Linked DNA regions of Caenorhabditis elegans. The protein of the gene in region 2 purifies or fractionates together with the protein of the main gene of each other region. This does not show direct contact. Each region holds a gene or a part of one and is shown on either strand. Other genes may lie near its edges. The genes, in order: acox-1.6, C29F5.1 and pinn-1.

What was found.
Region 1: the proteins of C29F5.1 (region 2) and acox-1.6 fractionate together in Caenorhabditis elegans (co-fractionation; one large-scale study listed by BioGRID). This does not show direct contact.
Region 3: the proteins of C29F5.1 (region 2) and pinn-1 fractionate together in Caenorhabditis elegans (co-fractionation; one large-scale study listed by BioGRID). This does not show direct contact.

The regions. Positions count from the first base shown.
Region 1 is NC_003284.9:15,836,576-15,840,330, forward strand, and holds the start of acox-1.6 (Acyl-coenzyme A oxidase), read right to left. Parts: upstream 1,972-3,755; 5' UTR 1,951-1,971; coding exon 1,834-1,950; intron 1,667-1,833; coding exon 1,485-1,666; intron 1,431-1,484; coding exon 1,363-1,430; intron 473-1,362; coding exon 289-472; intron 244-288; coding exon 1-243.
Region 2 is NC_003280.10:6,301,482-6,305,236, reverse strand, and holds the start of C29F5.1 (START domain-containing protein), read right to left. Parts: upstream 1,713-3,755; 5' UTR 1,683-1,712; coding exon 1,599-1,682; intron 1,157-1,598; coding exon 983-1,156; intron 853-982; coding exon 650-852; intron 114-649; coding exon 1-113.
Region 3 is NC_003280.10:2,887,098-2,890,852, forward strand, and holds the start of pinn-1 (Peptidyl-prolyl cis-trans isomerase), read right to left. Parts: upstream 1,911-3,755; 5' UTR 1,909-1,910; coding exon 1,854-1,908; intron 1,807-1,853; coding exon 1,733-1,806; intron 1,625-1,732; coding exon 1,498-1,624; intron 268-1,497; coding exon 161-267; intron 1-160. Other genes in the region: Beta-1,3-galactosyltransferase sqv-2, read right to left, coding at 2,125-2,206.

The DNA.
Region 1 (3,755 bases), on a different chromosome or scaffold from region 2:
CTCATCAGCAATGCTTTTCTTGGAATTCTGACTTTATCGAAAAGTAAGAATCCATTGTCATTTCCATTGATGCCAAGTTTTGGTCCAATATCTCCCAAACGAATTCCCTTGAGTGGATAGTGAGTGTCTTCATCGCGAAGTTGCACAATGAACGGATGAGGTCCTTTACACTCTCCTTTTGTGTACAACTGTGCAACAACCACAGCGTAGTTCGACGATTTACCCAAGCCTCCCGGCCACCATCTTAATTAAGACCATCACATTTCTTATCACATTTTGAATACTTACTTGGCTGCAGTGATTGTTGGCGAGTTCATAACAAACTCTTCTGTGGCTGGATCATAAGTTGCAGTGGTTTCCAGTTTTGAAAGGTTTGTACCATGACCGAGTTCTGTTTGAGCATAAGTTCCAACTACTGCACGGGAAATTGCTTTGGTAAGCCACTCGTCCAGTTGATCATCGTCAGTTTGACCTGAGAAAGTTTTATTTGATAAATTTGGATTTTAACGTGGATTTCTGATTTACATCATAAATGCAAGTAGGGGTCTTTATAGCGATGCGCGGAACCCAAAAAGTGTCGGACGCGGAGCCAAGTCTCCACCAAATGGTGACATACCCTATCGCACTATTTTGTGAAAACGTGGCTCCGCGTCCGACACTTTTTAGGTTCCGCGCACCGCTATAAAAATTTTGGAGCGCACCGTGAGAGAGTTGTTTTCGGGGTCGACATGGGAGCCCCGTGCAAGTGTTAAATTGAATATGAACTATTAAAGGTGGAGTAGCGCCACTGGGGATTTTGCCAAATTACACCTATTTGGCAAGTTGCCAAAATTTTGAAACATATGAGTTTTTGAGGAATTTCAAAGCAATGTCGCATGTCCCGACCCCTACAACGTTTTAATACTAATAGTTAAAACAAAATTACAGTATAAAAAATGAAGAAAAAAACTTTTTTTTTTGGTCGACTTCCAAAATTATGAGTGGCAGAAACTGAGTAATTGTCACTTTTTGACATTAAATAAAAAATTGTCAAAAAAGTTTTGTAAGAGTTTTATTATTATATTTGGTCATTTTGAGACAATTGGAGTGGTTTTTAAGATTTCCCCCACTGGTGCTACTCCACCTTTAAGATTTTTTTTTCACTACAGTTGCATTTGAAATGTAAAGTTTGATCAAAAGTTTTAAGATTTAAAACTACTCAAGATCAAAAGCTGCAACTGCCAATAATGCGTGATTTTTTGAGTTAATTGAATTTAACTTTGAACATTTTTCAAAAGTCTCTTTTTGAAAATTTTATATTGGAACAACTTCTAATGTTCCGAAGAAAACATTTTCAGGTTTCTACTTCTCTAAAAATAGTACCTTGAAGTGTTGGAATAAACATAACGTAATGAAGCGACATTGCATGAAGATCACGGCCCATCGTCAATCTTAAATTATTTTCAGTTAATATGTTTTTACCAAATTCCCAAAAAAAAACTGACGCTTGATAATACATTCCTTCTCCGAAGAAGTCAGATCCATCAATCTGATCGGTGTTATTTGTCATTGCCACAACTTTACGAGCATTGTTCAGAATGCGTTCTTCGCGAGACATAAACTCTGTTGGAACCGGATCTTTGAAGTCGTCAACGCTTTTGACAAAATCCAGAATTTCACGGCGACGCTGAACATTAAGAATTTTTTTCCAAATAACTAACTGTTTTTGGAAGCTCCGTTATTTATTTTGGCATAATTTTTGAATTAAGATTGGAAAATCATCCATAAAAGTTAATAATATAAATTTTCGAATTAATATTTACCTTTTTCTAGCAAATGCAGACTAAAGCTTACCTTCATAACTTCAGTCCCTCCATGTATCCAAGCTGACATACGTTCTGTGTCAAACGTAGCTTTTTTCCGTTCATTGGTAATGTCTACATTATCGCCTGGCTGAATCCATCGACTCATTTCAAAAATTTCAGTGAGTTCCTAAAAAGAGGTAAGTTGATAGAAATACATATGTACAAAATTTTTTCTTTGAAAAATTAGAAGAAAAAAAAAACAACAAAAAAATCAAAGTTTTTTAGCAGAGCAACACAACTTGCTTAAAAAGTACTAATAAATAGACTGGCTACATGGGACACTACGTGCTAACAACGGGAAAAATGATAACAAGGAACTTTATTGATAACGTTGGTTTAAAACTATACTACGGTTCCAATATAATAGAAACACTTTTGAAGAAATTGCTTCAAACTGTAGTATACTTTGATTAAATAGACTGTCTTTAAAAAAAAAACTTTTTATATGACTTATAGGAAAATCTATAAAAAACAGAGATACACGAAAATAGAAAAAAACACGTAAGAAAAAACGTGCAAATAAGTGTTTATGAAATGAACGCAACGACAACAGTGTAGTCGTTAGGCATTCCTGTTATCTCGGAGAGTCAATTGAAAACATGGAGACGTAGACGCGAAGACTGATTAAACTGGATTAATTTGTTTATAAGAATATTGATTATACAAAAAAGGGAGAGAGTTTTGATAATTTCTTAAAAATACGCTTGGTGCAAAAAATTGACAAAAATAACCGCACAATTGATTATGAGATTAAAGGTGGAGTAGCGCCAGTGGGGAAAATGCTTTAAAACATGCCTATGGTGCCACAATGACCAAACCTCATAGTAAAAATTTTTTAAAAAAATTTCTAAATTTTATATGATTTTTTGAAAATTGAAAAAATCTCGAATTGCATCAAATTCCTAATTGAATTACCGCCAATAGTTCGATGTTTGATGGTGCGCGCTTGCATTATTTTAACTTTTATTTATCAATTTTTCTTAGTTTTGATTGATTTTTCATGTTTTTTGTGTAATTTTACTAGAAATTTAATGAAAAATTCAAGATAAATGTAGATTGTTCACTAAAAATAATTGAAAAAAAAAGAAATAACGTTTTCCAACGACGTTGAGCCTGAAATATTCTATTTCACAGATTTAGGCTTCAGCGCCCGCTTTTTAATAACAAATTTACATTTCTCTTGAATTTTCCATTAAATTTCCAGTAAAATTACTCAAAAAAAAACATGAAAAATCAATCAAAAATAAAAAAAATTGATAAATAAAAGTTAGAATAATACAAACGCGCTCCATCGAACATCGAATTATTGGCGGTAATTCAAATAGGAAGTTGATGCAATTCGAGATTTTTTCAATGTTCAAAAAATCATATGAAATTTAGAAATTTTTTTACAATGATATTTGGTCATTGTGGTACCATATACATGTCTTAAAGCATTTTCCCCACTGGCGCTACTCCAACTTTAAATTTATCGGTTTCATTTTTTCTTTGGAACAAAATTTCCTGGTCGCATATTTAACTGGGTAAGTTGAGATTGAGCTATGTAGTTTGACAAAAAAAAAACAGATTTGAATAGATAGTTTCTGATAAAAAAATTTGTGAGTGCAAGATAAACACCGCATCTTGAAAGTTAAATAAAAACATGATACAAAATGTTCTTCCGTTCTTGAGAATTATTCCCCCACACTTGTAAAATTTAAGTTTTTAGATATCAAACATGGCATTTATTTGGGATTTTTGTTTTCGGAATCCATTTTTTCTATATTATATTTTCTCGTTTTGAATAAATGGAAACTGAAACAATTAATAATTCAATTGAAACGTGGTTTCTTAACACAAATGTATTTGTTTGTTCAATCAGGAATTTAACAAGGAGTCTAACAATTTTCTGGCAATTTATAAAAATTAATT
Region 2 (3,755 bases):
CAAGTTGGAAGAATGGACCCGTTGAATGAGCACCACGGGGGCGAGTCATTCGATGTTTCAGATTTTGATCAAAAGTTACATGTCCGATTTCCATTAAATCAGAAGCTTCCATTCTGAAATACAATTATTGGTTTGTTTTGAGTAAATAAGAATACCGAAAAGTTTAGAAGTTTTGCTTTGAGAAGGGCTGACAAGGCAGATGTTCACTTTTTGGTGCGAATTTTTCAAGAATTTATTTCAAGTTCTAAACTTTTCTGAATTTTGAAAAATCCAGTTACTAAGCATCACGAAAACTATAAAAACTTTTTAAAAACAAAAAAGTTTTTAATAAACAGATAAAACTAAATTTTCTCGTTTTCAGTTTGCATGCCTACCGTATATCCTCTATTAGTTTTGCACCCCTTTGCTCAACTTTGACAGCTCATATCTCATTTTGTTTTGAACATATAAATAATTAACAAACTACATACTATAGAAAACCACCTAACAAATATTTTATCAGTTGACAACTTTTCTATAGAACAAACGACTACTGAGATATGAGCTGCCAAAGTTGAGCCAAGGGGTGCAAAACTAATAGAGGATATACGGTACCTTATTTTTATTTATTACCTATACATAGGTATATATACTACCTATTTATTTTTACCTAGTGAGCAGAACAGTCTTTCCAACGCGTTCACAATCGATTCGGAACAATCCTTCTCCGGCTTCATTACAGAATGCAAAAATCTTTTGCAAATTGATAGCATCCGTGATAAAATGGAATTGAGAGAAATCGATTGGTTTCTTCTTTTTCTCACTGAGCAAACGTGCCGCAATAATGATGGCATCCAAAGATCCTTCCCGTACCTGTAATTATATTGATTTCCAAATCAGCACATTGCTTGTAAAAATGGATTGATTTTTGTTTTCCAAATAAAAAAATCTACACGCTTCTCGTGCTTCAACTCGTGTTTCAGTCAACAACTTATGAACTCACTTTCAAATGATTGACGTCATAAATAATCACTCCATGATCTTGCATCAACTTGCCACCTGGCCAATAGAATGATTCAACAGGTGCTCCTGGAACAAGAATAGTTGCTGTCTCATCATTGAGATACCATTGATACGATCCAATACGGTCTACATATTTTGTACTTGTTGGTCCTCCCTGTAAAATTGATTTTTATTAACGAAAACAGTAGATGATTCGCTCTCACGTTTACTGTAATCTCACATTTACTTTCATACATTTTTTCCACAAAATCTTCAGCAAATCATTTAATTTTTAATGGATCTTTATACAACAAAAAAATTTCCATATATTTTTAAAAAACTTCCATATATTTCTAATTATAATATTTTCATAAGACATTTAAAATTTTAAGCTAGGAAACTTAAAAATTCTAATTTTTGTAGCAAAAAATCTAGAAGACAACTTTTAAACTAATACAATAAAATATCAAGAAGTTTTACCATGTTGGTTGGTCATAAGTGAATGCTCGGCATCTTCTCAATTGTGAAATTCATTAATAAGTAAAGAAATACAATAGCTAGAAAAACATTCTCCAACCAAAAAAAAAGTCCTACATCGATATTTAATAACTACTCACCTTTCCAGATAAATTGTTTAATGGAAGAAGACCGTATGGTTCTTCTTCAAGACCTTCAAACAACCAGAATCCGTCGGCAGACATATCGAACAGCGGCTATACGGCGATCTGTCCAGCGACGTGTTGTGTTTTAAAGAGAGGCCATTCTTCAGCACAACGGATCCCTACGAAAGAGAGAGAGAGAGCACATGAGGGGGTGTTCGGGAACAAAAAATAGTCTATGAAGACAGAGACTCAGATAAGATTACAATGCGGGGGAGCAGGAGCTCCCGTCCAATCTCATCGACAAAGTTTCGAAACACCGATGATGATGACGGGATCCCAATATCTCGGAGAAAATAAAGACAATGAAAAGATTTCGTATAGATTTGGAGGACACACGCACACATCGATTGACCATCACCTGGAGTGGGAGCATTGGGCTACGTTTTTGTGATAACGAATAATTTAAAATGTTGAGAATAAGTATTTCAGCGTTCGCTTAATTTATAATTTTCTAAAGACAGAAATCTGTATCACGAGGCTGTAGAATGACAAATATTTTATTTGAAAGCTCATAATGATAAATTTTAGACAGAACGATTTCCCAACCAGTTAGATTTCAAACCTCAAAAAGATTAGCAAATAAAAATTCGAGCAACATTAAACAAAAACTTGGGAACTTTTTTATTCAAAACGCTTCCATACTGTTCACAAAGGATGAATAAATATAAATTTCTGTAGACTGTTAATTCCCTTCAAAATATGCTAAATAATGTTGATTGGATATTTAAAAAAGAGACTCTGAAGAATATCGATGTTTGTGATCAATTGGATATCGAGGAGTATCAATTTCCAGAAGATTGTGCCAACAAAGGATCAAATAGAAGCTTTAGGGTTAGAATTGGGCAAACGCTGTCATCCAGAAAATTGGCCACTTGTGGCGTCCCACAAGGCGCAGTTCTGTCACCACTTTTGTTTGGTATCTATGTTAATGATATATCATCAATATTACCCGAAAAAGTAGCATGTAAACAGTTTGCAGATGACACGAAATTGTATGTATCGACCCCTAAGACTGAAAGCGAAAACAATTTACAGTCTGCTCTAGATGCTGTAGTAGATTGGACAAGGGGATCAAAACTCACTCTAAACCAATCAAAGACAGTTCACGTCACTGTAGAAAAACGTAGAATAGATTTCAAATACCACCTAGACGGTTACCCTATTGAACGAAAAGCTATTACCAGAGACCTTGGATTTTTATTCTCTGAAAAGCTGGATTTCTCTGAGCATTGGAAGAAATGTATCAATCTAGCTAAATTTCAACTGGCCAACATGTTCAACCAGTACAGTACCTCCAATAAGAAACTAATGATTCTCTTATACAAAACTTTCATCCGCCCTCGTTTAGAATATGGAACAGTAGTGTCTTCTCCGACAAAAAAATCGGATGAGAAAGCAATAGAGTCTGTACAAAACGCATTTTCTAGGCGCCTTTATAGTAGAATCAAAAAAAGATATATTAATCCAACTGATAAAGATTACAAAACTGCCATGGAACGTAACGAACTATTCGACCTCCAAACCTTAAGCACGAGACGTAAAATAATTGACAGAATCCAAGTAATCAGAATGAATACTGGTAAAGTAGACTTAAAAACATCTGAGTTTTTTGAGCAACAAGAGACCCACACTCGTTCTAAAAAGAAATATATCTGGAGCACAGGAAAATCTAAACTTAGGAGACACTTTTTTGTCAACAGAACACTACCCACAATGAAGCAACACTGATCTAATGTTACCTTATCCTCACTTCTATTCATCATTTATTCTTGCCTTTTATACATCGATATTTGTGTTTTTTGCTTCTTCTCCAATGTAGCCATTATTTTCTTCTCATCTCTTTTTTTATTTTTGTTTCGTTTTATTTATGTAATTTATTTATGTAACCACTTGTGATGGTTTGTATCTATTAATGTGTGTTTTTTTTCCTACCTCACGATATCTTCTATCGTAATAAATTAAATTAAATTAAATAAAATTGTCCAGATCCGGGCCTCCAGTTTGAAAAATCCTCTATTTTTAATCTCTCTAAAAATCCGTTATTTTTTGAGAAATGTTAGCTCAATACTGCCAAATTGTTTCTCGCGCTTGATAAGGTAGATCATTGTGTGA
Region 3 (3,755 bases), 3.4 Mb from region 2:
AGGCTTTTTTTCAGCTATAAAATCGAAGGAAAATTGTATTTTTGAAGCTTTTTCACACAAAAATTTCAGGAAAAACGACATTTTTCAACAAAATTTGAACTTTTCAGGGCAAAAATTTGCGTTTTTTCGGTACTTTTCCTCCGCCCGGCGGTTACAGTACCCCAAGATCTCCGCCACGTTTTGCCGAACTGCAATCGCTGAATTGTTTGGCGAGTTCACGGAATTTTCCCTCAATGTTCGACGCATCTTTCAGCTCCTTTTCGTAATCTGAATGAAAAAATATTGATTTTTAGACCAAAAATTCCGATTTTTTAGCTTAAAAATCATTGAAAAATTGGAAAATTCGGCGAAAATATACTTTTTCTGTCGAAAAATCGAAAAATAGAGCTATTTTTCGATTTTTTTTTTAGTAAAAAACCTGCAAAATGCAGTTTTTAGCCGATTTTAGACACAAAAATGAAGAAAAATCGATGATGAAATCCAATTTTTCGGCTAAATGTGAGAAAATCCGCAATTTTCAGCAAAAACCCGGGGAAAATCGATTTTTAGCGCTGAAAATTGAATTTCCGCGCGAATTTTTAGGTTTTTACTGTGAAAATGGGTGATTTAGAGCTTTTTTGGCCATTTTTCCGCGAAAATGCCAGATTTTAGGCTGAAAATTAAGAAAACGTCGATAAAAATCATTTTTTCTGGAATTTTTGCGGCTAAAATTCAGGAAATTGGCAATTTTCGGCTCATTACTCTGAAAAATCAAAATGTTTCTCGGTTTTTCAAGTGATTTTTAAGGAAAAAATGCGAAAAACCGCAAATTTCCCGAAATTCTCGTTTTTTTTATACAATTTTTAGTCAAAAATTTCATTTTTTTAAAGCAAAAAACGGCAATTTTAGTGCTTTTTTCGGACAAAAACGGTGAAAAACTGACTGAAATGCCGATTTTAGGCTGAAAAATGAAGAAAAATCGATTAAAAACCCATTTTTCCGGGTAAAATTAGAGAAAATCGCATTTTTTTGGGATTTTTGAGAACCAATTTTTCATAATAAAAAACAATTTTTAGTGCTGAAAATCCGCATTTTGGGGGTTTAAAATGTGAAAAATCCGGATTTTTCCGAGAAAAATTTAGTATTTGAGCTAAACAGCCGAAAAACTTGCCATTTTCATGAAAATTTCACTAATTTTCCGCTAAAAATCAGAAAATTGGCAATTTTCGGGTTAAAACTCTAAAAAATCGTAATTTTTCGGGGTTTCAACGCGATTTTTCAATTAAAAATCGGTTTTTTGCGCGGAAAATTGGTCAAAAATCAGAGAATTTGCTTTTTTAAGAAATTTTCTCGAGAAAAATCGAAAATTTCGGCTAAAAATTAAATTTCCGCACGGTTTTTCAGGTTTTTAATATAAAAAATTGGCGAAAATCCGGTTTTTTTGGCATTTTTTACAGGAAAAACACGTTTTTCGAGCTAAAAAATCCGATTTTTCACGAAAATTCCGCAAATCCGCACTTTTGAGGATGTTAATCGCGTCATCCTTGGATCTTGTGATGTGATCGGACCGCCAAGACGATGGATTACGGCTTCCATCGTGTTTTACGAGCAAATGAAGGCATTGGACGGATTTTAGCTCGCTTCCCTGGAAAAATATCGATTTTTGCGGGGTTTTTGGGTGAAAAAACGCGAAAAATCACGAATTTTGAGTGATTTTGAGCGAAAAATCAGCTAAAAATTGCCATTTTCTCACTTTTCCAAACGCCGACTCGTCTGGGCGCTCCCATTGGCTGCGGCCGGTGGCCGTGTTGAAGTAGTAGACGCGATCTGGAAAAATTATCGATTTTTTTCGCAGAATTTCGCGAATTTCCAACCATTCGAGCGGCTCTGACGCTTTTCCCATCCGGCTGGCAGCGAATTATCGGACATCTGTGAGAATGTATGGGTTTTTCTGGGGATTTTGCGTAAAAATAGGTATTTCTGGGAAAAATCAACGATTTTTCGGGGGGAAAAATGAATAAAATCGGTTTAAATGTGGAAAAATGCAATATTTATACGAGAAAGACAATTATTATGCGCGGAAAAACCGTAGAAATCTGGAAAATTGGCCCGTATTCAGTAAAAAATGCGATAAAATGCAATAAATTATGGAATATTCGATCCGTTGACTCTTGTACAACATTCGCTGGGTGCTTTCGAGAAATCGTACACGTAGGATGGATGTTTTCTGCAAGAAATTGGTTAAAAATTGGTGAAAAATGATGGAAATTGATTAACGCGGCCGAGAAATCGATTTTAGGCAAGCGCGCTCTATGGAGAATCGGTCGTCGCGGCCACGGAGTCCTCTCGGAGAAGAGGTGAATTAATAATTTCGCGAATTTCGCATAATTTTGGCGATTAAAAGGGGTTTTTGCAGGTTATTTCCGGTTTTTCGATGGGAAAATTGATGAAAATTGCATTTTAAATACGAATCCAGCAAAAAACAAGCGAAAATTCGATTTTTTCGCTGTTTTTTCCCGAGAAACTTCGAAAATGGCTTAATGTTTCGCCGACTTTCTAAAAAATCGGCCTATAAATGCGAATTTTGCAATTTTTCGAGTGATTTGGCGCAATTTTCGCACGAAAAATCAGTTTTTTGGTCGAAAAATGGAAAAATTGGCAAAAAATTGGAATTTTTCGGGGTTTTGTACAAGAATGTCGAAAATTGGACGATTTTCGGTAAAAATCGACCATTTTTATCCGATTTTTCCAATTTTCCGGCCGATTTTAACACAAAAATCTGGTTTTTTTGCGGAAAAACCCAGAAAATGGCCAAAAATGGGTAAAAATTGCGAATTTTCTAATTTGTCCAGCAGATTTTGGCAATTTTTAGGCAAAAATCTGAGAAAATAGCTTTAAAAAATTGGTGAAACTTGTGAATTTTCTAATTATCCGAGCGATTTGGCAGTTTTAGGCTAAATTTCGGTTTTTTGGGCTGAAAATTGGTGAAAATTGCGATTTGTCCAATTTTCCGGGAGATTTTGACGATTTTTTTACTAAAAAAACCCAAAAAATTAGCGAATCCGGGGCAATTTTTTCGCATTTTTCACAAAATCGGCTTAAAAATTTCCGAAAAAAAAGGCGATTTTTCTAATTTTTCGAGCGATTTCATGGGTTTTTTTTGGTGGAAAAATCCAAAATTTGGCGTAAAAATTTTGTCAAAAAATTCAGTTTTTCGAAAAATGGACCATTTTTTCCGATTTTTCTTAGGAAAAAGTGAATTTTCCAATTTTCCGGGCGATTTTGACGATTTTTAAACCAAAAATTCAATTTTTTTTTGTTTTTAAATTCAAAAAATCCAAAATTTTAAGGCTAAATCCTTTAATGTTAAGGCCAAAATTTTGATTTTTAGGCCAAAAAATCAAAATTATTTTTAAAAAATCTTAAAATTTTTTTTTTAATTTTAAAAATCCAAAATTTCCAAATTTTTGGCCAATTTTCCGCAAAAAACCGATTTTTAATTGAAAAATCGCGTTGAAACCCCGAAAAATTACGATTTTTTAGAGTTTTAACCCGAAAATTGCCAATTTTCTGATTTTTAGCGGAAAATTAGTGAAATTTTCATGAAAATGGCAAGTTTTTCGGCTGTTTAGCTCAAATACTAAATTTTTCTCGGAAAAATCCGGATTTTTCACATTTTAAACCCCCAAAATGCGGATTTTCAGCACTAAAAATTGTTTTTTATTATGAAAAATTGGTTCTCAAAAATCCCAAAAAAATGCGATTTTCTCTAATTT